3 linked regions of the Daphnia pulex genome follow. Each later gene encodes a partner of the first gene's protein in a complex. Links are inferred from orthologs where the notes say so. Each region holds a gene or a part of one and is shown in the gene's direction. Other genes may lie near its edges.

What was found.
Region 2: mediator of RNA polymerase II transcription subunit 23-like (region 1) and mediator of RNA polymerase II transcription subunit 7-like share a complex: the UniProt entries of both Homo sapiens proteins name them as parts of the mediator complex. The link is inferred for Daphnia pulex from reciprocal best matches to the Homo sapiens genes MED23 and MED7.
Region 3: mediator of RNA polymerase II transcription subunit 23-like (region 1) and mediator of RNA polymerase II transcription subunit 8-like share a complex: the UniProt entries of both Homo sapiens proteins name them as parts of the mediator complex. The link is inferred for Daphnia pulex from reciprocal best matches to the Homo sapiens genes MED23 and MED8.

The regions. Positions count from the first base shown.
Region 1 is NC_060019.1:10,878,091-10,886,437, reverse strand, and holds part of mediator of RNA polymerase II transcription subunit 23-like, read left to right. Parts: coding exon of another isoform or gene 1-228; intron 229-299; coding exon of another isoform or gene 300-378; intron 379-463; coding exon of another isoform or gene 464-560; intron 561-1,291; coding exon of another isoform or gene 1,292-1,326; intron 1,327-1,426; coding exon of another isoform or gene 1,427-1,605; intron 1,606-1,673; coding exon of another isoform or gene 1,674-1,746; intron 1,747-1,841; coding exon of another isoform or gene 1,842-1,844; exon of another isoform or gene 1,845-2,000; intron 2,001-2,839; exon of another isoform or gene 2,840-2,921; intron 2,922-2,965; exon of another isoform or gene 2,966-3,064; intron 3,065-3,127; exon of another isoform or gene 3,128-3,425; intron 3,426-3,909; 5' UTR 3,910-3,997; coding exon 3,998-4,045; intron 4,046-4,107; coding exon 4,108-4,349; intron 4,350-4,416; coding exon 4,417-5,916; intron 5,917-5,985; coding exon 5,986-6,348; intron 6,349-6,415; coding exon 6,416-7,030; intron 7,031-7,091; coding exon 7,092-8,347. Other genes in the region: ovoinhibitor-like, read right to left, coding at 1-228, 300-378, 464-560, 1,292-1,326, 1,427-1,605, 1,674-1,746, 1,842-1,844. UniProt on the Homo sapiens protein: Required for transcriptional activation subsequent to the assembly of the pre-initiation complex. Component of the Mediator complex, a coactivator involved in the regulated transcription of nearly all RNA polymerase II-dependent genes.
Region 2 is NC_060019.1:10,645,068-10,650,517, forward strand, and holds mediator of RNA polymerase II transcription subunit 7-like, read left to right. Parts: upstream 1-3,910; 5' UTR 3,911-4,046; coding exon 4,047-4,232; intron 4,233-4,289; coding exon 4,290-4,760; 3' UTR 4,761-4,829; downstream 4,830-5,450. Other genes in the region: tyrosine-protein kinase Btk29A-like, read right to left, coding at 1-8, 113-153, 2,561-2,914, 3,028-3,295, 3,385-3,546. UniProt on the Homo sapiens protein: Component of the Mediator complex, a coactivator involved in the regulated transcription of nearly all RNA polymerase II-dependent genes.
Region 3 is NC_060023.1:11,384,653-11,390,135, forward strand, and holds mediator of RNA polymerase II transcription subunit 8-like, read left to right. Parts: upstream 1-3,654; 5' UTR 3,655-3,792; coding exon 3,793-3,816; intron 3,817-3,882; coding exon 3,883-4,023; intron 4,024-4,082; coding exon 4,083-4,179; intron 4,180-4,244; coding exon 4,245-4,372; intron 4,373-4,432; coding exon 4,433-4,655; intron 4,656-4,723; coding exon 4,724-4,824; 3' UTR 4,825-4,862; downstream 4,863-5,483. Other genes in the region: protein CutA homolog, read right to left, coding at 1-29, 118-160, 230-279, 351-396, 470-529, 597-720, 1,743-1,828, 1,903-2,089 and 1 more; male-enhanced antigen 1-like, read left to right, coding at 1,082-1,182, 1,259-1,667; probable 28S ribosomal protein S25, mitochondrial, read right to left, coding at 2,922-3,090, 3,155-3,242, 3,297-3,540; early endosome antigen 1-like, read right to left, coding at 4,995-5,228, 5,297-5,472. UniProt on the Homo sapiens protein: Component of the Mediator complex, a coactivator involved in the regulated transcription of nearly all RNA polymerase II-dependent genes.

The DNA.
Region 1 (8,347 bases):
TGTCGTAGGTTTTGCCGTCTGTTCCGCAAACGGGGGCGAATTTGAATTGACATCCACACTCAGCCGCCGCTCTCTTGACTGTCTTCGTTGATTTACATTCGCCATCGTAAGCTTTGCTCTTTTTGTCGCACTCCAGAGCACATAGGTTGCCGTAAGTTTTCCCGTCTGTGGCGCAAACTGGCTCGTACTGCAACGTGCAGACACAGATTGCTTTTCGGCCGATCCCCGCTACATGAATTAAATAGTCGCAAATGTTATTAGTTCAAAAATATGATGTATTACTTTTAGCAAATGCACACCTCCGCAAGCGCCGGGTCCGTAGCTTATCACGATGCTTAAGGCGAAAAATATGAGGAACAGAGACGAGCATGAGAAATTCTAGATTGTTGGAAGAATGAAAATCTTGGTTATCTTAAGAGTCTGCACAAACTCCGATAATTACAAAAATAATAATATAATTTACCTTTGAGTAGAACTGAAGCATTTCAAGAGAAAAATGTTTGAGTCGATGGAGAGCGAAGGAAGTTTTAAATCTGAAAATGTTGTCTATCGACGGACACCTTTATATAGTACTGCTGTTTATGTTATACGTCTGTAGTGCCTCGATTCATCAGGATTTTGTAGACTGCAAACGCCCAGCGCCAAAGGGGATTATTTCTAAATATCTCCATGTTGGGAAAATCCAAGGGAACAATTTCCACATTTTAGTTACAACATACGTTTTTTTTTTAAATAATAACCCCCGTTTTTCAGTTCCGTTTCGGAGAAAAAAGACAACCAATAGGCCTTAATGTTTAGAACATTATTGATTTCAATGGCGCGACGAATACGTCATATTACCTACAAACTGATGGAAAGAATGAAGCGGAAGTATATTCTTTTGTTGAATCATAAAACAATGATGTTTTTAACATTGTAACCTGCTCTATTTTCCTCTGTCAAAATCCTTTGTTCCCGCGGGTTGCATACCGAGTTATATTCTACTACGCAGTAGGCTACATATTACGCGGCCATTTTGTAAAGATTTAGTGGATTCAAAAATGAATGAAACTACGTATCTAGGATCGCTTAAATATGCACCCATCATTCAACGGATATCACCCTCGCATTTAAACTAAAGCGTTCGATTTTCTTGCTCTTGGTATGCGTAGGTTAGACATATGGTATGGAATGTGAAGTAAAATCTCATCTCAGTCATGTAAATTAATCAATATAATTTTAGATGTATTTAAAAGCCTGTATACAATGAGTGGGATTGCACAGCAAATAGCACAAGTATATAAAAGCCCACTGGTCATCATAATAAAATAGCGTGACGAAAACGTACTAAAACATTGTTCGTATTTGAAATCAATAATGAATAAGAGGGGATCACTATAATTTTGGAGTTACTATTTAATGAAAATAATTTGTCTCCGCCATTTTATGGGCTCGCTTCTTTGCATGCACCGTCATAAGCCTTTGTGATGGACGACTTAGTCTTTCCACATATACCTTTAGTCTCGACACTCAATACGCATTCGTTAGAGTAAGTTTTCCCGTCTGTTCCACATACTGGGGCGTAATTTTTCTTGCAGTTGCAGCTAGGATCCTGGTCTTGTGGAACTGAGAAATAACATGACATAACAGTTATTTATCTATACAAAAATTAATATGTGAGCGTAATTTCATACTTCCTTGGACGCCAGAGCTAATCAAAATCAAAGTAACAAGTGAGATGAGAAGAAGAGCTGCGCTGAATCGGTTCTATGACGGAAATTTCGTACAAAAATAATTAAGTATGTACACAATTACATTGCCACTTTTGGGGGAGGTACATATTGCGTGTTAAAGAATAATACCATTTCAATTTGGTGACCGTTTATTTTCGGATTCCTTTTTACAGAGTATATGATGTGAATGTTGGACAAAACTGTAAGAAACTGATTTGTTACTATCCAAGCGAATTTGGTATATGTAGCTTTAACCAGTGTCGTAAAAGTATTTGAAACGCCCAGTGCTAGCGGCTACAAACATGTAAACCGGTTTTCTGTTTAGATTTGAGATTGCTAGTGCATACTCTCACGCAACTCGCAAGGAGGAATTTGACGACGAACAAACTAAACGGTTCTCCATGCAGGTTTTATTTCGTGCAACTTGTTTTGGTCAACGCAACTTTCCAACGTACATAGTCACCACAATAACAACGCCAAAAAGCACGCTACAAAGTATCGTAGTGTACATTAATCTACTACACACAGGCAGGTAAAACGAAGTTGTCCTAGAACAGCAGAAGAATATTTTAGTTGTGAAATAAATGTTGTTAAATAAATCTAAGTGAAATGCTGGCGCTGAAGAGTATAGTTTGGGAAATACTAATTAATTAGTTAACTTAACCTGTTAAACAGGTTTTAGGATATCAAGTCGTCTTTGTTCGTGTCCAGAGTTTGAGCTTTCACGAAAAGTTCTTTCACTTAACGAGCAAGTGTAAGCTGTCGTAATAAATTATTTATGAGTACCGCGAATTAAATTGTAACAGAATTCTCGGAAAAAAAACAGCGCAAGACAATGGTTTGCAATGGAAAGAAACGGCAACAAATAAATTAGGTAGAGAATGTCGTAAAGAAATCTAGTATCAATTTAATTAGCCTACACATTTTTCTAGATTCAAATTTTCCGAAAATTTACAAAGAGATTCACACAGATGGAACACACGAAGATGCAGGTACAAAGTTGTTCACCAATCGCAGCTAAATTTGATTGTTGACATTCACCTTCATAAGCCTCACTAACCAACGATTGCTCAGTTCCGCATTTCGTAGTTTGAACTCTCAAACATCCTTCGTTTTCGTAGGTTTTCCCATCTGTTCCGCAAACTGGGGCCCATTGTCTACTACAGACACACTGTGGCCGGTCAGTTTGTTGTGAGATTTCTTGTCGAACTATAATTTAATAAATTAAATGGTAAATTTACTTACTGGCTTTAGGAAAGAATTTATTTACCTCCTTGAACACCTGATGGGCTGCTGCTCACCAGAACAATCAAGGTAAGTGCGACGAGAAGCAGAACAAAGCTTAAACGATTCTAATAAGGAAAGAATCGAAAAATCCACACTTGACGAGAAGAAAATTGTTGTAATCAGATTACCATTGATACAGCTGCTGAATGCATTTTTAAGTTCATCCACAGGATCAGTAATTATGGACAAATGAAAAGAAGAATTACATAAGAAATACTGTAACTGTAACGAATGTGTAAAGCTTACTGGGCTTGGCTACTATCCTTTAATACTAGTCTTCCTTTAAAGCAACTCAGTCACATTCTATCAATCGGTTGTCGTCAGGTTGAAACGCCTTTAGCGCTCTGTCAAACTCGTTTTTAGCTACAAAAAGGACTCTTCTTGTAAGGAAATCGTTGTTTCCGTGTGTTCTTTCTATTATTTAGTTAAAAATTCATGTTTGAAAATAAGACATTTTTAGATTTCGTCCTTCCGGGTGCTAAGGTTTTGCCATTTTGCAATTCATCAAATCATTGTCTAAATTCAGATCAAAATATTTTATGAATCATAGTAGTCATATAGCTAAATAATGGGGATTGAAGTAGCTCACGACACTCTTGTCTGCTGGTCAGGAGCTGAAAGAATGAAACAGAAACAAGGGACCATGACGAGAGATTATTATCAAATTGATTGAACTCTTGTCCCCTTGTTCTCTTTTCCTAATTGCTGTTTTTTTTTGCATCGTTTCCAGTTCTTCGATGTTCGAGATTTTTCCCCATTTATTAGCGGCGAGTTTGAATATTTCCAAATGTTTAGATATTATTGATAGATGGCGTTCGCATCAACGTTTGGCACTTCGATATTTTTCTTGAAAGATTCACGACCGGTATTCTGATCTTCTCCCATTGTTGACTTCTTTATGTTTTAAAAGGTCTGGCTGCAATTAAGTTTATCCTGTGAATCAAATCTTCAACTGATATCAGTAAAGCGTGACTTTACTTTTTAAAGTCGGCCTAAAAATGGCATTGGACGGAAGTAAAGTACAAGCGTTGGTTTCGGAAGCATTGGTATGATAATCTTTTCAAATGAAAAATAAAACTAATATACTAATGCTTGAGTCAAATTACAGAAAGTTGATGCCATTGAAGAAGCTTTTAATGATTTCCTGATCCAACGCAAGGATGAGGGAGTTAAATATAGTGCCTTGGAAAAAGATTTGATAGCGATGATGAATGACTCTCAGGCTGAATCACAAGATGCTATTTTGCCTCAGTTTATTGCTGTCATTTCTGGGGTCAGTAGTGATTCACACTCAAAAATATTATTTAAACTTCTGGAAAGTGTAGTAAACACAAATATTGCAACATCCCGGTAAAAGATTCAATTTCATGTATTGTAATGTCCTTCTGTATCACTTTTTATTCCTTTATTTCAATAGGAAAGTATGTGACTCACTTTTGGGCAATGAGAAGCTTACTCCTGCAAATCCACTTTTATGGCAGGGAAGCTTCTCACTCATCAGGAAAATTGTGTGTCATGTGGATTACAAAGGAGTACGAGAAATAATGAAAACATGCCTGGAAAAGGCACAACTCTTGCCAAGCCGATTTTCAACATCAGAATATCCAAATGTAACAGCATTGGAGCATACTTTGAAACACATTCTAGACCGCCAAGTCTGTCTATTGCCAGCCTATTTCATCGTGAATGAAATAAGAAAAATGTATCCAGAAAACAAAGACTGGCCTCATTGGAAATTGGCTGGTCTATTATCAGAAGTTGTGGATAGCTTTCGCCCTTTGGTGCAAATGCTCTCTCCTATTGGCAGACCTTTGATGTTCCCTGTGGTTGACCCCTCTGCCCATGGTGTCCACCACAGTTGGAAACTGGAACAGGGTACACTCAAACTTGCTTTGAAAGGGAATTTACCCTATGAAAAAGAGTATACGGAGCCACAGACCCGCTTGATCCGGTACGTTTTGGAGCAGCCCTACTCCCGTGAAGTACTTTGTGGAATGCTGGGCTTACAAAAGCAACACAAGCAGAGACATGCAGTATTGGAAGAACAACTTGTAGAACTACTGGTGCAAGCTATGGAACGTGCAGAAATCGCCCCTGAACAGGATTCAGATGCCGCCGACGAGTTGGGCGTTTCTCATTGGCTCTGGCACCACTTATCCAGCCAAATCATTTACTTTGTTCTTTTCCAGTTCGCCTCATTTTCCCATCTAGTCACGTTATTGCACGAGAAATTGGCAGAACGAAAACTACGCAAAGGGCGCGATCAATTAATGTGGGTTCTTCTCCAGTACATATCTGGCAGCATCCAGAAGAATCCTCTGGCCGAATTCTTGCCTCTTTTGCGGCTGTACGATCTACTCTATCCTGAGCGTGAACCTTTGCCTGTTCCGGACTACACTCGACCTATCTGCGTACATCAAATGGCCGTTGCATGTATATGGATACATATTGTCAAGAAAGCCCAGACAGAACAACAAAACGCCCAGAAAGAAATTGCTGCAGCTGCTGCGGCCGCGTCGACTGCCGGAGCTACCGGCACCAATCCTTCTCCTGCGGCCCCAACTGGAGGGAAAACGGATTCTCGAGCTTTTACGACTCTGCTTCAGAGACATTTTCCTCAGGCACTTAAAAATCACCAAGAATTTCTACAGCATAATGCTCTTAATCCCCCAAGCAGTGCTCCTTCTGGGGACTACAGGGTAGCTCTGCTTTGCAATGCATTCTCCACGACGTTAGACTGTTTGGCTCGCCCTATGGGTTCGCTAATGGAATCGTTGCACGGAAACCTAAGCCAAAAAGGTTCTGGGAACGCAGGAGGAAGCGCTGGTGGTATGCCAAATACAGGACCCATTTCACCCATTCCGCTGGCCTTTTTAGACGCACTGACTGTGCATGCTAAAATGTCGCTCATTCATAGGTAATCACTTCACATGCTTTACAGTTTTAAGGTTTTCTTTATTAATTTCTTATCATTTTCTTTGTTCAGTATTGTGACGCACGTTATCAAATGCGCACAAACAAAAATGAACGTTCCTTTAGCTCCGGCCCTCGTTGAAACGTACAGCCGCCTATTGGTCTACACTGAGATAGAGTCGTTAGGTATCAAGGGCTTCATCACGCAAGTGATGACTAGCGTTTCGAAATCACAAGCGTGGGGTATCTTCCATACCCTGGTGGAAATGTTCACTTTTCGTGTTCACCACATGCAACCACAATATCGCATACAGCTGTTAACTCTGTTGCATTCGTGCGCAGTGCCACAACAGCATCAAACACAGCTGACACTATGTGTTGAAAATGCGGCCTTGAGGCTTATAGGATTACTTGGTGCAGCAGAAATGCAACCTTGGTAATAATTTGGAACCCTTCAAAAGCAACAACTTAATTTCTGGTTTAATTATCCATTATTTTAACAGTTATTCGCGATCAGCTGCCGATATTAAACCACTCTTCTCAAGCGATTCGGAAGAACTCAACAGAGCGCTCATCCTAACGCTTGCTCGAGTAATCAGCGTCGCTGGATGTGAAACGCAACATAGCAGCTGGTACAAGGATCTGCTAACTTTAATACAGCAACAGACGCCTCATAGCTGGTCCAGTAACACACGCGACTGCTTTCCTCCACCCCTAGCCGAGTTCTTCGGACAGGCAGCGAATCAACCAGTCAAGGAATCAAAGCAGCAGTTGAAGCAAAATATCGAAGAAGAGCACCGAAAAGTATTGACCATGAATCCAGACGATTGGCCGGCTCACTTTGCCCCACAATCAAACAATCCGCCATTTTTCCTTTGCTTGTTGTGGAAGCAACTTCTTGAAACGGAACGTATCAATCCCGTAGCTTACAAGTGCATCGAACGCATAGGCGCCAGAGGTTTGGGCAGCCACCTGCGTACATTCTGCGACTTCTTGGTTTATGAATTTGCCAATTCTGGCAAAGGTCAACACGTTAACAAGTGCATTGACGTGCTTAACGAAATGGTGTGGCAATATAACGTCGTGACTATTGAGCGACTCGTTCTCTGTCTGGCCTTGTGAGTATTTATAATGCATAGTGAATCTAGTTTTCTTAATTAACGAGCTGTTCATTACTAGGCGTCCCCTGGAAGGTAACGAAGCCCAAGTTTGCTGTTTCATCATTCAATTGCTGCTTCTAAAAACACCGCAGTTCCGTTCGCGTGTTCAAGATTTCGTCAAAGATAATTCGTCCGAGCACTGGCGTCAAAACAATTGGCACGAAAAGCATTTAGCTTTCCAGCGAAAGTTTCCAGAACGCTTTGGACCTCCCGAATCGGTGCTTGAAAGCATTGGCCAGGGTGGCTCTTACCAATCTCTCCCTACTTACTTTGGTAACGTTTGCCTCCGTTTCCTTCCCGTTTTCGACATCACTATTCATCGTTTCACTGAGATTCCACCAGTAACCAAATCGCTCGAAACCATCCTAGAACACCTAGGCTGCTTGTACAAATTTCACGATCGACCAGTCACTTACCTTTACACAACGTTGCATTACTATGAGCGTAAACTGCGAGACAGGCCACTACTAAAACGAAAACTGGTTTCCTCCATCATGGGCTCTCTTAAAGATGTCAGACCTCCTGGGTGGGCTTTATCCGAGTCGTACTTAAACTATAGCACTCGTCAAGCTGATGATTTGAATTGGCTGCCAGAATTGGATTATTATGTCAAGTTAGTTGGGCGCCTTGTTGACACTACTGCAGGACGTTCTCCGTTTCCCTTTCCGGCAATGGACTGGCGTTTTAATGAATTCCCGAATGCTAGCTGCCATGCCCTTTATGTTACAGCTGTTGAGCTCTTGGCACTTCCTGCTTCACCTGCAATCGTAGCCAATGCATTGATGGATGTCGTCTTACAAGGATACAATCTTTTGCCAGTTTCGGAAGCAACACCATTAGAATCTTGGGTGAATGCTGTTGGCCTTCTTCTGACATACTTGCCGGAGTCGTATTGGTCGGTCTTGTATGACCGAATCGTCGAACTGTTAAGCGGTCCACAGCTTTCCACATATACGTACCCCTGTTCACCATTGCATCTCTTCCATTTCTCGACAGTCGTTGGCCAAGGACTTGATGCTCCTTTTGTCCTTTTGCTCGCCGTTTCCCATGCATTCTTCACCCACGCAAATATAGGTCAAATGGGTGGCCTTCCACAGTTTGTCAAAGATCGCTTGCATCCACTTATTCGTACTGAGGAACAGTATCTTTGGCTTTGCCATTTGATCGGTCCAACTTTACAGCGGTTCAGTGTCGACAAGCCCAAATGCGTTTTTGATTTGACGGTTGAACTCTACGAGCTGCTCGAACAAGTGGACAAGAATGTGGCTGAAATCA
Region 2 (5,450 bases), about 230 kb from region 1:
GCCACAACCTGGACGGAAGATCCCAAAAGGTAAACACAAAGAATGCGACGATTAGTTTTTTGCAAATAAACAAGACATGAATAAGGGTCAATCTTTCGTTTTGACTGCATACCTTCTTAGGCACGACAGCGGGTTCAGTCGGGATGGAAGAACCTAATGGTGAAAAAAGAATAAAGCGCACGATGAGTGGCGGTTTAAAGGAAAATAAATAACATAGATGGAGAACAACGATAGCGAACAAGAGACGATGGGGGGTGTCTTATGGTTTGAAAGGTAATTTTCATCGTAGAGCTGAATTATCATCGAACTTGGGAGAAGGGAAGCTGGGGAGAGGGGGGTTCTTTTTGTTCCTCTTCTTCTTTTCAAAGGCTTATTTGGCGGATGTACTGACACACACACACACATACACAGCCGTATAATAACCTTCCGTCCTTGGCATACAAAATAGGCCTGTCGTCTATATGTAGTCTTCGACCTAAGAGTTTCAAGGGCTTGGAGATGGATACAAAACACAACTAAAAATAAAATAAAAAAATGGGATAGAAGAGAGAAAAAGAGGGGAGAGAGAGAGAAAAAAGGATAGAATGGGAGAAACGAGTGTGGGAGAAATCGTTGCTGCGTCTTCTATTCAACCACAGGCGAACAATGGATATAAGGAAGGCTTTTCCTAGCAGACTCGATACCGGTATGAGAAATTGAGGAGGGAACTTTCTCCCCTTCTCTTTAACGCGCTCCTTTGAATTGTACGCGTGTCAGAAACTCGTAAACAAGGACGGGTTTTTACTTTTCTAATAGTTATTCTAATAGTCCCAAAAAAGAAAAGGAAAAACTTGCAACGTCCAGTCTGGACCATTTCTGGCTGACGAAAGAGGAGGTGAGGTCAGCCGAGCTCCCGTCGATTTGAATCTAATCAACATCCAACTCACTTTACACACACACGGCACTAGAATACGCTCGAGGGAATTGAAACACGCAACCACACAAGACTGTCGACAAGTTTCTATCGCTACTACTACTTTCAAACGTTGAAACCAAGAAAACAGGAATTAACGGACAACAGATAAGTTGTGGTATAATCTCACATACTGGATTTTCTGCAAGGGGACTAGGGAAATCCCGAAGAAAACAATAAATCACAAATGTAAATATTTTCCATACAACACAACCGCATAAGAAATGATTGCCCTCGCAAGCATTCAAATACAACAGATTAAAATTAGAAATTGAATTCCAGAAATTTGTCGGAAGGCAAGCCAAACCCAAGTGCACATAAAGACCCACCGCGATGGTTTACGATTGTAACTTAACGCATTGAACACCTGTTGAGTCATTCAACAGGTGACTTTCAGGTGGGAGTCAACGTGAATAGCCTGTGCGATTTTCGATTGCTCAAGGGTAGTAACATGAGAAGAAAACCGATGAGAGAAAAAAACAACACAACACGGTGAAGCCGAACCATACCTAGAGTCAATTTACTTTCGGTGATCTTATAAGAGAGAGAATCCGAAGACATTGTGGACCAAATAGGCCAGCGGCAACCAAAAATGCGCATAATTTGCCCGTTAAAACCTCTGAAACATCAGCCATGTACGTAAAACTTACATACACGCATTGAAACTAGAGAAACAAAATAGGTAGGGGCGAGCTGACTGCAAAACTTGCACTACAACAAAATAGATTTGAACAATGGACCAAGGCAGCAGGTGGAAGCTTATCAATAATTCTCACGTTATTTTTTATCTCGTAAACACAAGCGCAACACTAATCGAACTGACAGGTAACTATTTCAGTATCTGAATGAAACAAACGTAGGCTGTTTTTCTGAGAGATATGAGAGACTGTGCTGTGCTGGCTTCATCATCTCTCCCACACTTTCGCGTAGGAATAGTCCAGTTTGTCGTTTGCTTTCGCTCTCACACGGGACTTGATGAGATGTGCAGTCCTCTTCTCGTCATTAGAGAAAAAGAAACGTGATTTATGAGAGACGCGGTCAGTGCCCACTGAGTACAGGGAGAGGGCTAGAACTAAAAACCGCCGAAAGGAATAAAAAAATCTCGGGGAAAAACAAGCTTGTGTGCATTCTCTAGGTCTTCTTCTCTCCGACCGACCGCAAATCCCCAACATTTTTCAATAGAGAAAATTTTCATGAATATTGCCAGTACCAATCTCACACAAGTTTTCTTTCTCTAAACCACTGCAGCGCCACACGCAACACTCACTTCTCTAGTTTTCTAATAATTAGTTGATCTTTTCAGCTATCCGATAATTTAGCTTCGCAAGTGAAGTGGATGTAATAACTTTATCCATTTAGTTTTTTTTACAAGGAAAACAAATTGAATCTATTCCAACGACGCAGTTTCTTAGAATGTGCTTCTATTGGCTTAAATCCCCCTCCCTCCCAAAGTCCTTGACTAAGGATTTGATGCGAAATAACTCAACATTAACTGTTGTTCATGTACTTAGAAGTCGTACAACTACTGTTTCCTAGAAGTATTGCAGGCAACGAACGGGTGTAAATCATTAGTTAGCACTTAGTAGGATACATAAGCGGGTATAGTACCTAACGCAACAACGGCGTTGTGAGAAGTGGAAGGGGATGCAGGAACAACATCCCCGACGATTGCCGGATGAATTTCCGTCGTGGGTTTAATCGCCGTTGGTTTGACCATGGCCGCCTCGACTTCAGCCCCATTCGCAGGTTTAGCGACAGGACTTGGTGAGGGAGACGGATGGTGGATGATGTTACTGAAATTGATGCCCATGTGTTGAAGTGTATTGGGAGCCCAAGTTACAGAACGGCAACCGTTTATTGCCTTAGACGTGGACCTTTGGGTTGATCCACAGCAAAGATAACTTCTATTCCCCCACAGGGCAGGGTGATACACATTCACAAGAGGAGCACTGTCTTTGACCACTATCAGGAGAAAAATAAAATAAATTATTAGATGAGATAAAATGAACATGTGAGATAAATACTGCTATTTGTCACACATAACTACTTGAGACGTCAAAAGAGAATGTTCTCACCAACTCGGATATTCCAAAGCCAGATATCTCTTTCTTGCTGAGTGGGAGTGAAAATGCAAAGAGTCAAGTCTGTTGCACTACAACCTTCATTACACTCATAAGGATTGTACACTATCTGAAAAGCAGGAGATCCCTTCAAATCACTCGGAATGGAACCTGTAAGGTTTGCCAATGGACCGATGGCAGGTGTGTCAGGTGCTGGATCAACAGCTTCCACAACTTTCACTGTTTGGAGGTCGACACGTCCCTTTTCTTTTCCTTTGCGATTCTGTTGTTTGGAATTGATGGTTGTGATGAATTAGTGATGAAGGGATTCACGAACACAGTCCATGCGTGTTTAGTAGAACTAAACCTTACCTCGCATTCGCCCTCGTAGTAGGCGAGGAACTTTGTGGTAAGGACGAACCATCGACTCTTGTAGTTGATCAAACTAAACCTCTTCTTGTTCTGTGATCGTTTCACTAAATTGCCTTGCTTTTTTACCTCACCTGCAAGAGGTTTGGCAGAGCTTTTAAACATACTTACAAAACGATCACTAATCAAAAAAGTAGTCCCCACTTGATAAAGCTGTTATAACTTCGTTCATTGTCTTTCTCCCTGGACCCTGGTACGAAGAGAATGAAAGCAGGACGAAGAAAAAGCTCTCCAAACCTCTCTAAATACTGGCAACTCGGACAGATCTAGCGGCAGTTGCCGACAACTATTATCGGATTTAATTTCCTCCGAAAATTAGCGATAAAATCGAGGAAATATACATTTAAAATAAAAAAATAAACAACGATTAATTGATTTAATGACAATTTAATGTAAAATTGAATTCTTTTACAACATTCTAAATCAAATTTGTTTCCATTCAAGAATGGCGTGTCGGGACAGCCACAAAAAGGAGAACATTGATCAAAAAATAGTCTGCTGAAATCCCCAAGCAAACGAACTAGAAAACGTCACATTCTTCATTCTTGAAAACAAACTATATTGTTTACATTACTATATTGCTTCATTCCAGTGGGAAAGTAAAAATGTCAGAAACGGCTCAAGTTAGTTCATTACCTTTGCCACCGATGCAATATGTCAGTCTTTTTAATGAAGAAAACGCTAAAAGAGGAAGAACACCGAGACCACCTCCTCCGATCACAGACAATTATTCCATGTTTGGTAATCCATATAATACTGATGATGCTGTGATCCGACCTCTTGAAAGCCAGGTGATAGAAGTTTTTTCTTAATCAAAGCTTTCTTTAATACTCGTTTTACTATTCCAGAATATACGACGTCTGTACCCTAATAACTATGACCACAGAAGAGAACTGAAAAAGCTCAATCACTCCATCACTGCTAGTTTCCTTGACTTGGTTGATATCTGCATACGAAATCCAGAGTCTGAAGCAAGAGCCACAAAAATTGATGACCTCACTTTGCTTTTCATTCACATGCATCATCTGGTCAATGAATTTCGGCCTCATCAAGCAAGGGAAACTCTTAGAGTTATGCTAGAACAACAAAAACGACAAAGATTGGAAATTGCAGAGCGTTTCAGAAGACATTTTGACAAAGCTTGGGAATTGGTTCAGCAGGCTGTCAACACAATTCCTGAACCAACTGAAGGCAACATCAAGCTCCTTATAGATGTTGAACGGGTTCAACCTTCAGAAGGCAATGCAAGCAACCAAACTTCTGGGAATGGGTGTACTGAGGAGGATCGTGTTCTGTGTCAAATGATTGATTCTTTGTGAATTCTGTGTTATTTTATGTTTATTCAAAGTGGAAAATACATTCGATCTACTCGCCTTTCTGATGTAAAATAGTCTGCTGTTTTATTTTTAATCGTTTTGGGACAAACATAATCTCGGTGATTTATTTTTTTTTAAGAATTTTTATTTTAAAATAATTATTGCAATAGATTTTTCTATTTGTATTTTAGTTGATAAATGTTGATGATCCACCTAAATTAAACATCTAGATCAAATTGCAACGTTGTTTATTCGTTTTAGTCCGTCTGCAGTCGCTGTAACATATTTTTCCTTCAAATTTTTCCTCTTGAAAGTTGATTCGAAACAACAATACCGTTGAAGTTAATTCTCTGCTTTTGGTAAGTGCATTGCTGTTAATTTAACTGTATATTGAACCGGTCTATCGATAGTTATTAGTTTTATCATTTCGCCTTGCAGGTAACATTCAATTGTTATAGCCAAAGCAAGTTTTTACACGTGATCATCTTTCGTTAGTAGAGTAAATTTTAAAATGACTGAAAGAAAAGTCAGCCCAGTTCCCGTCTATAACAATATCCTAATGGAACAATTTTTTGATGAGATCCATCCCAAACGAAGTCCTGTCATACTCAGAGGATTAGACATTGGAAGTTGTCTAGGAAAGTGGACAGCTGAATATCTTTCGCAAAATGTTGGGAATAAGCCAGTGAAGAT
Region 3 (5,483 bases), on another chromosome or scaffold:
TCCAAATATGGTTTGTTCCCTTGTAAGATCTAAAAATGAAATATATACCTTATTTACATAGGAAAGGGTCATTTACATGTAGGAAAACATGTTCTGTGATTTGTCTGTAAAGTCTACCTCAGTGGAAATTACTTCACAAACTTCATAAGGATGGTTCTTTCTGAATTGTGGAATGTATAAAAAAAATCTTTCATCTAGTTCAATAAGATTGCTTTACATGAACAATTACTTGACATATTCTGTTAGCTCTGGTAGTCTCGAAGTTCTGGTTTTCACCATCTTTTTTTAAGAAAATGATGTATAGTTTTGATTTCAAATAAAATTAATAAAATTAATATTTCTACTGTTACCATCAAGACTTCTGAATCTTCATTAACTTTTCCTTCCCAACTGTACCTGAATAAAAAAATATGGATATAAAAATCATCATGAATGTAAAGAAAATGTAACTGTATTTCAAAAATCTTACACAGATGTGATCTTTGGAATTATGTTGACACAAGCAGCCAGTTTTTCAGAAACAAGACCTCTGTCAATTAGAAATGTTATTTTGTTATTATTGTAGATTAATAAAAAGCAATTTAAAGTGAACAAACCGGGCAATAGTTTTGGCCACTTCTTCGTTTGGGGCTGTAATAAATGACATGGAATGCATTCTAGAGATGAGACTGGGCGACACGATGCTGTGAGTGTGATTTGAAAGTTTTCTATACAAGACTCCTAGAAACAAAATTGTCATAATTACCCTCTTTGACAACCGCCAAAAAGAGGACTGCAACAAAATATGCAGAATTTTATTAAATTAATCGTCAAATAAACTGTGGTAAATAATAATTTTTTAAGAAAAATTCTGACTAGGCCTACTTTTCATTTAAATTTATTGTGTTGTAAATAAGTAAATTTCGTCTGCTTCTGCTTAACAATCGCAAAATAACATTTAAAAATCGTCGATATATAATCAGCTGTGAGCTGTCACTGGCTTGCAATTGTCGTTGTTTTGGACATTGTTTGTGGGAGTCTACAGTCTTCTGATTGATAAATTTGTGAGTTTTCGCTTTATACAGTTTGTGTTCAAAAGGAAATGACGGGAAATTCTCCTGAACCAGATTCTGGTCGTTTGCCTGATAACATAGACGAAAATAACTCTGTTCACGATGAGTTTAACAGTGATTTTAACGAAAGGTCCATTTTTTTATTCTGTCCAAATTTAACACTGGAAAATATTTTTAACAAGTTAAAATTGTTTTTTTTTTTGCAGAGATCTGACAGAAATAGAAGACACTGCTGCTGAAGAGCAACAAATAGGAGAGAATGGATATGAACTTCTCCCTACTTCCCTCTGTGAAGAGGAAGATGATGATTGTGTGGAATTTGGATACAGCACTTATGATGGACAAGAATTCCAGATCAGAACAAGCCATAACTATCACAACCTTGTTACAATAGAAAATCCAACATCTGCTCCTGCTGTTACACCAAATGATAAACCTAGCATTCCACTTGACACAACACAGATTGAAACTATAAAATCAATAATGTCAAAAGTAACTCTCCCAAGTACAGCTATTCCAGTTTGGGCTCACTCAGTCAGTGATGACCAACTTAAGCAAGTTGTTGATGAAAAGGTTAAGAAGGGAGTAGATGAGGCATGGGCAGTATTTGACTAGTAAAATTGTTGATTTATTAAATAAAAAATAAATTCTTGTCTTCATTATGTGATGAGTAATCAATTTATTTCCTACCCTCCAAATCTGATGGAGGTAATAAGCCAGGTGTTACACCAAAATAAACAGTAGTGGAATCAGAATCCATTAGTGCCAAAGTCAGTCTTTAAGTGAATCAAATACAATAATTAATCTGATTGTTTAAACCTGAGCAGCCTTAGATGAAACAATAATTTACCTTGATGATTTGTGTCGATGAAACAGACATTTTTGAACTTCTCCTATTTTTTTCATTGAAATTGCTTCATCTGCAGCTAATGGCAAAAAGATTTCCTGTTGTCTCTCAGCATCAGGCAAGTATCCTGTAATGTACACTAAATCCAACTCATCACACTGATGTATCTTCACATCTTCGTTCCCCCTAACTAAAACAGTTTATGAGAAAAGAAAATTCAACAACAGAATATTAACAAACATTATACCGAATTTAAGATCTTTATAAAGTTGTAACACCAAAGCTTTTTGTTTTGGTGTTCGAAATGTCATATTTTCTATTAAGTCCATTTTGTCAAATTCGGAATCAACAACAACTAGCTATTCGAGGGGCTAATTCATTTTTCACTTTTCAGACGACCGCGAGAAGCCGAGAATTGACAGAAGCAGACATCACACGATCGAGAAACAAAGGAGGAACGATTCTCGCAACAACAAAAAAAATTATTCAACAATATTGATATCATATTATTTTTAACATTATGGATACAATTTAATTTAACACTTGCAAAATGATTAAATTTTCTGGTTCTAGTTCCAAGTAGTTTTTATCAATTATTTGCGTAATGCATACTTCGCAATGTCGATAATCAGAAAAACCGTCTGCTTCAACTCTCAAGCTTATCACAACCAAAGTAAATCTTAAAAGCTGCTATGGAAAGATCAAACAAAAAAGCTGGTAAAATGCAGTTCATTAAAAGTTTTTACAACGACCCTTTCAGATGGTAAGTTTTATATAATCCCATTAACTTATGAAACACTCACTAAGAGAATCTTTTTTTATCTTAGGTCGTTGGTGAAGAGCGTGGCTTTGTTCGCCTTGGGAGTAAAGATTGCACGCGAGTGTGTCGACATGGACTTAATGGCTCCTCAAATGCAATAACTACGTTAATTGTCAAACAGTTTAATAATAAAAGCAGAATTGCATAATATTCTCAAAAATTTTTTTTTATTTGACTACATTGTGGGGCAATTGTAATTCATTTATAATTCATCTGGCTTTTGAAACTTGTACTTTCCTCTCCAACTATTTGGCAAAGGAATAAGAGCTGGGCAAGGTAACTGACCAGGTACCTCACAGATGCAATGTCTGCTGCATTTAGCTCCAAAATTAGCTGGGTTTTCTATTTTATCCTCAGCTTTCAGTGTTTCTCTAGATATCAATCAATTAATAATTATTTGGCATTTAATCTTACATAATTGTTTCAACAACTTACTCTGATTTGCAAATAATCCTGCGTACTCTTTCATAGATCTCATCTTTTGACTTGAAATCAACATCCATTAGAACCTCTTCCCCGTTTTCTGAACATGAAATTTGTTACTTATTTGAAAAAAATGTAATATTTTTTTAGTTACCTAAATAACACCGTATAAATGGACTAGGAGTCAAGTTCTTGAAGGTAGCTATCTGAATATTGGGGTTTTTGTACTGTAACTGAGGCAAGTGCCAAAACACGAATTGTCGGGCACCTTCGTGATTTTCACCTTTTGTGTTGTAGTTGATCGAAAATATCTTGACTCTATCCTTTAACACCAACTTATTTCGGTCTAAATACTCCAAAGTTCTTCGGATCGGAGCAGGACCTTTCATAAACGGCATTTTATTATGGGAAAAACTATTTTACTCGACCTAAATGATAATGAGAACTTGAACAAATAATTTCTCAAGCAGACGAACCAACGGAATGGCTAAGTCTTGATAATTTGACACTAGAGGGCTTATGCAACAAACGCAGACGACATTTTTGTGATTGACATTTGGTTGAAGCTAGCAAGCAGCAAGCTACAAAAGCATCACATCAGTTTATGTGAATTAAAACTTAAAAGAGCTTTCTCATAATTTATAACCAAGATGCAGCGTGAAGAGAAACAGCTGGTAATTATATAATTTAAGAATTGAGGTAAATTTTCATCCCAAACTTACAAAAAACGTTCAAATCAGGAAGCCGCTTTGGAAGCTTTGCTTCAGCGAATTAATGACCTAAAGACTTCTATCCGAACTCTGTTATTTCGTTTGGAAAATGAATATGGATCCCTCAGTTGGCCTTCTGTTTTGGATAGCTACGCCGTTATATCTGGCCAGGTAAATTATGCTTAAGACATTAGCAAGTAATTCAGACTAATTTTAAATCGTCAAACCAGATGAATACATTGCTGAAAGTTATGAAGAATGATAAAACTCCACTTTTGAGAAACCTCATAGTTTTACCTCTAGTTTTGAGCCCTGATCCAGATGAGGGTAAAGTTGCACTTACTATGCATACTTGCTGGTATGAGTGATTATCATCAAACATTTATTTGTAGAGCTCAAACAAGCAACAGAAGGGCGTGTTGTGGCCTTTTCACATGACATAACACCTGATATGCTGAGAACAAAACCTGATCCAGATGTGGAACAACGTCAAAATCAATTTGAACAACGTGCTCTACAGGTAAGAATACTTTTAACAGAAATAATAACATAAAATCTTACAACTTCTTTATTGTTAAAGGTTCCACCAGAGACAGCACAAAAGCAAATCAATGCAATGAATAAAGTGGTCAATCATGTTTTGGAGCAAATAACACATTCAAGAGAAGATTGGGAAAATGAAGCTACTGTCCGAGCAAATGCAGCCCACACTTGTATTATAGCCGATACGCACGCTCTGATTGCTGCTGTGGGATTGGGCAAGAACCTTAAAACCCTTCCTACAGCTGCTCCAACTCAACCTGGTGAGTTAATTATGCTTGCTTTGCTTCTAAAATTGCAAAAATTCCAACACATCGTCTTCAATATAAAGGTCCAGGACGCGCACAGCCTGGTCCGGCTCCAGGGAAAACAACAAGTACTATCAAGACAACCATCAAAGCGGCCAGCCAAGCGCACCCATACAACAGATAATAGGACTAGACCAAATACACATTTATTTCATATTGAAATCAGAATACCAAACACGCCTCCCTTATAATATCTCAAATGGAGCACTTCAATCATCGTAAACTGAACATAAACACTCATAATTAACGTCATTAAAAAAGGGGGGGAGGGCGACACGGAATATAATAAGTATTTTAGCGCGGAGAGTTTATAGTCAACTCCTTAAAGCATGAATCGCAAACCCTGACGGGTTTCCGGCTATTACCAACGGCAGTCGATTTACTAGAACACTCGTTGCAAAAGATTTGGCCGCAGTTGCGGCAGTGATGTTTCCTAACCGTTAGATTAAAACCTTTTTGGCAGCTCAGACAATCATTCACTTCGGAATCATCCGCCCACTTTCGGCCCTGCAATTTGGCGTTTTCCATCTGATGTAACGAAGAAAACCATTTTGTCAATTTATAAATGAAAATGTTTGTCGATTTTTTATTTATACCTGAAGACTCTGATTTTCTCGGCCGAGTTCGTGTAAAGCAGCTTGCGAATCTTCTAGGCGACGACGTAGTTCAGCAGCGTTGAACTTAAGTCTGTCCACTTCATTCTCCCATTGATTGCAATTGTTTTGCAGTTCTGTTTTTCCCTCCTCCAGCAACGCTACCCGAGTTTCAAGCTCTGCATTGGAA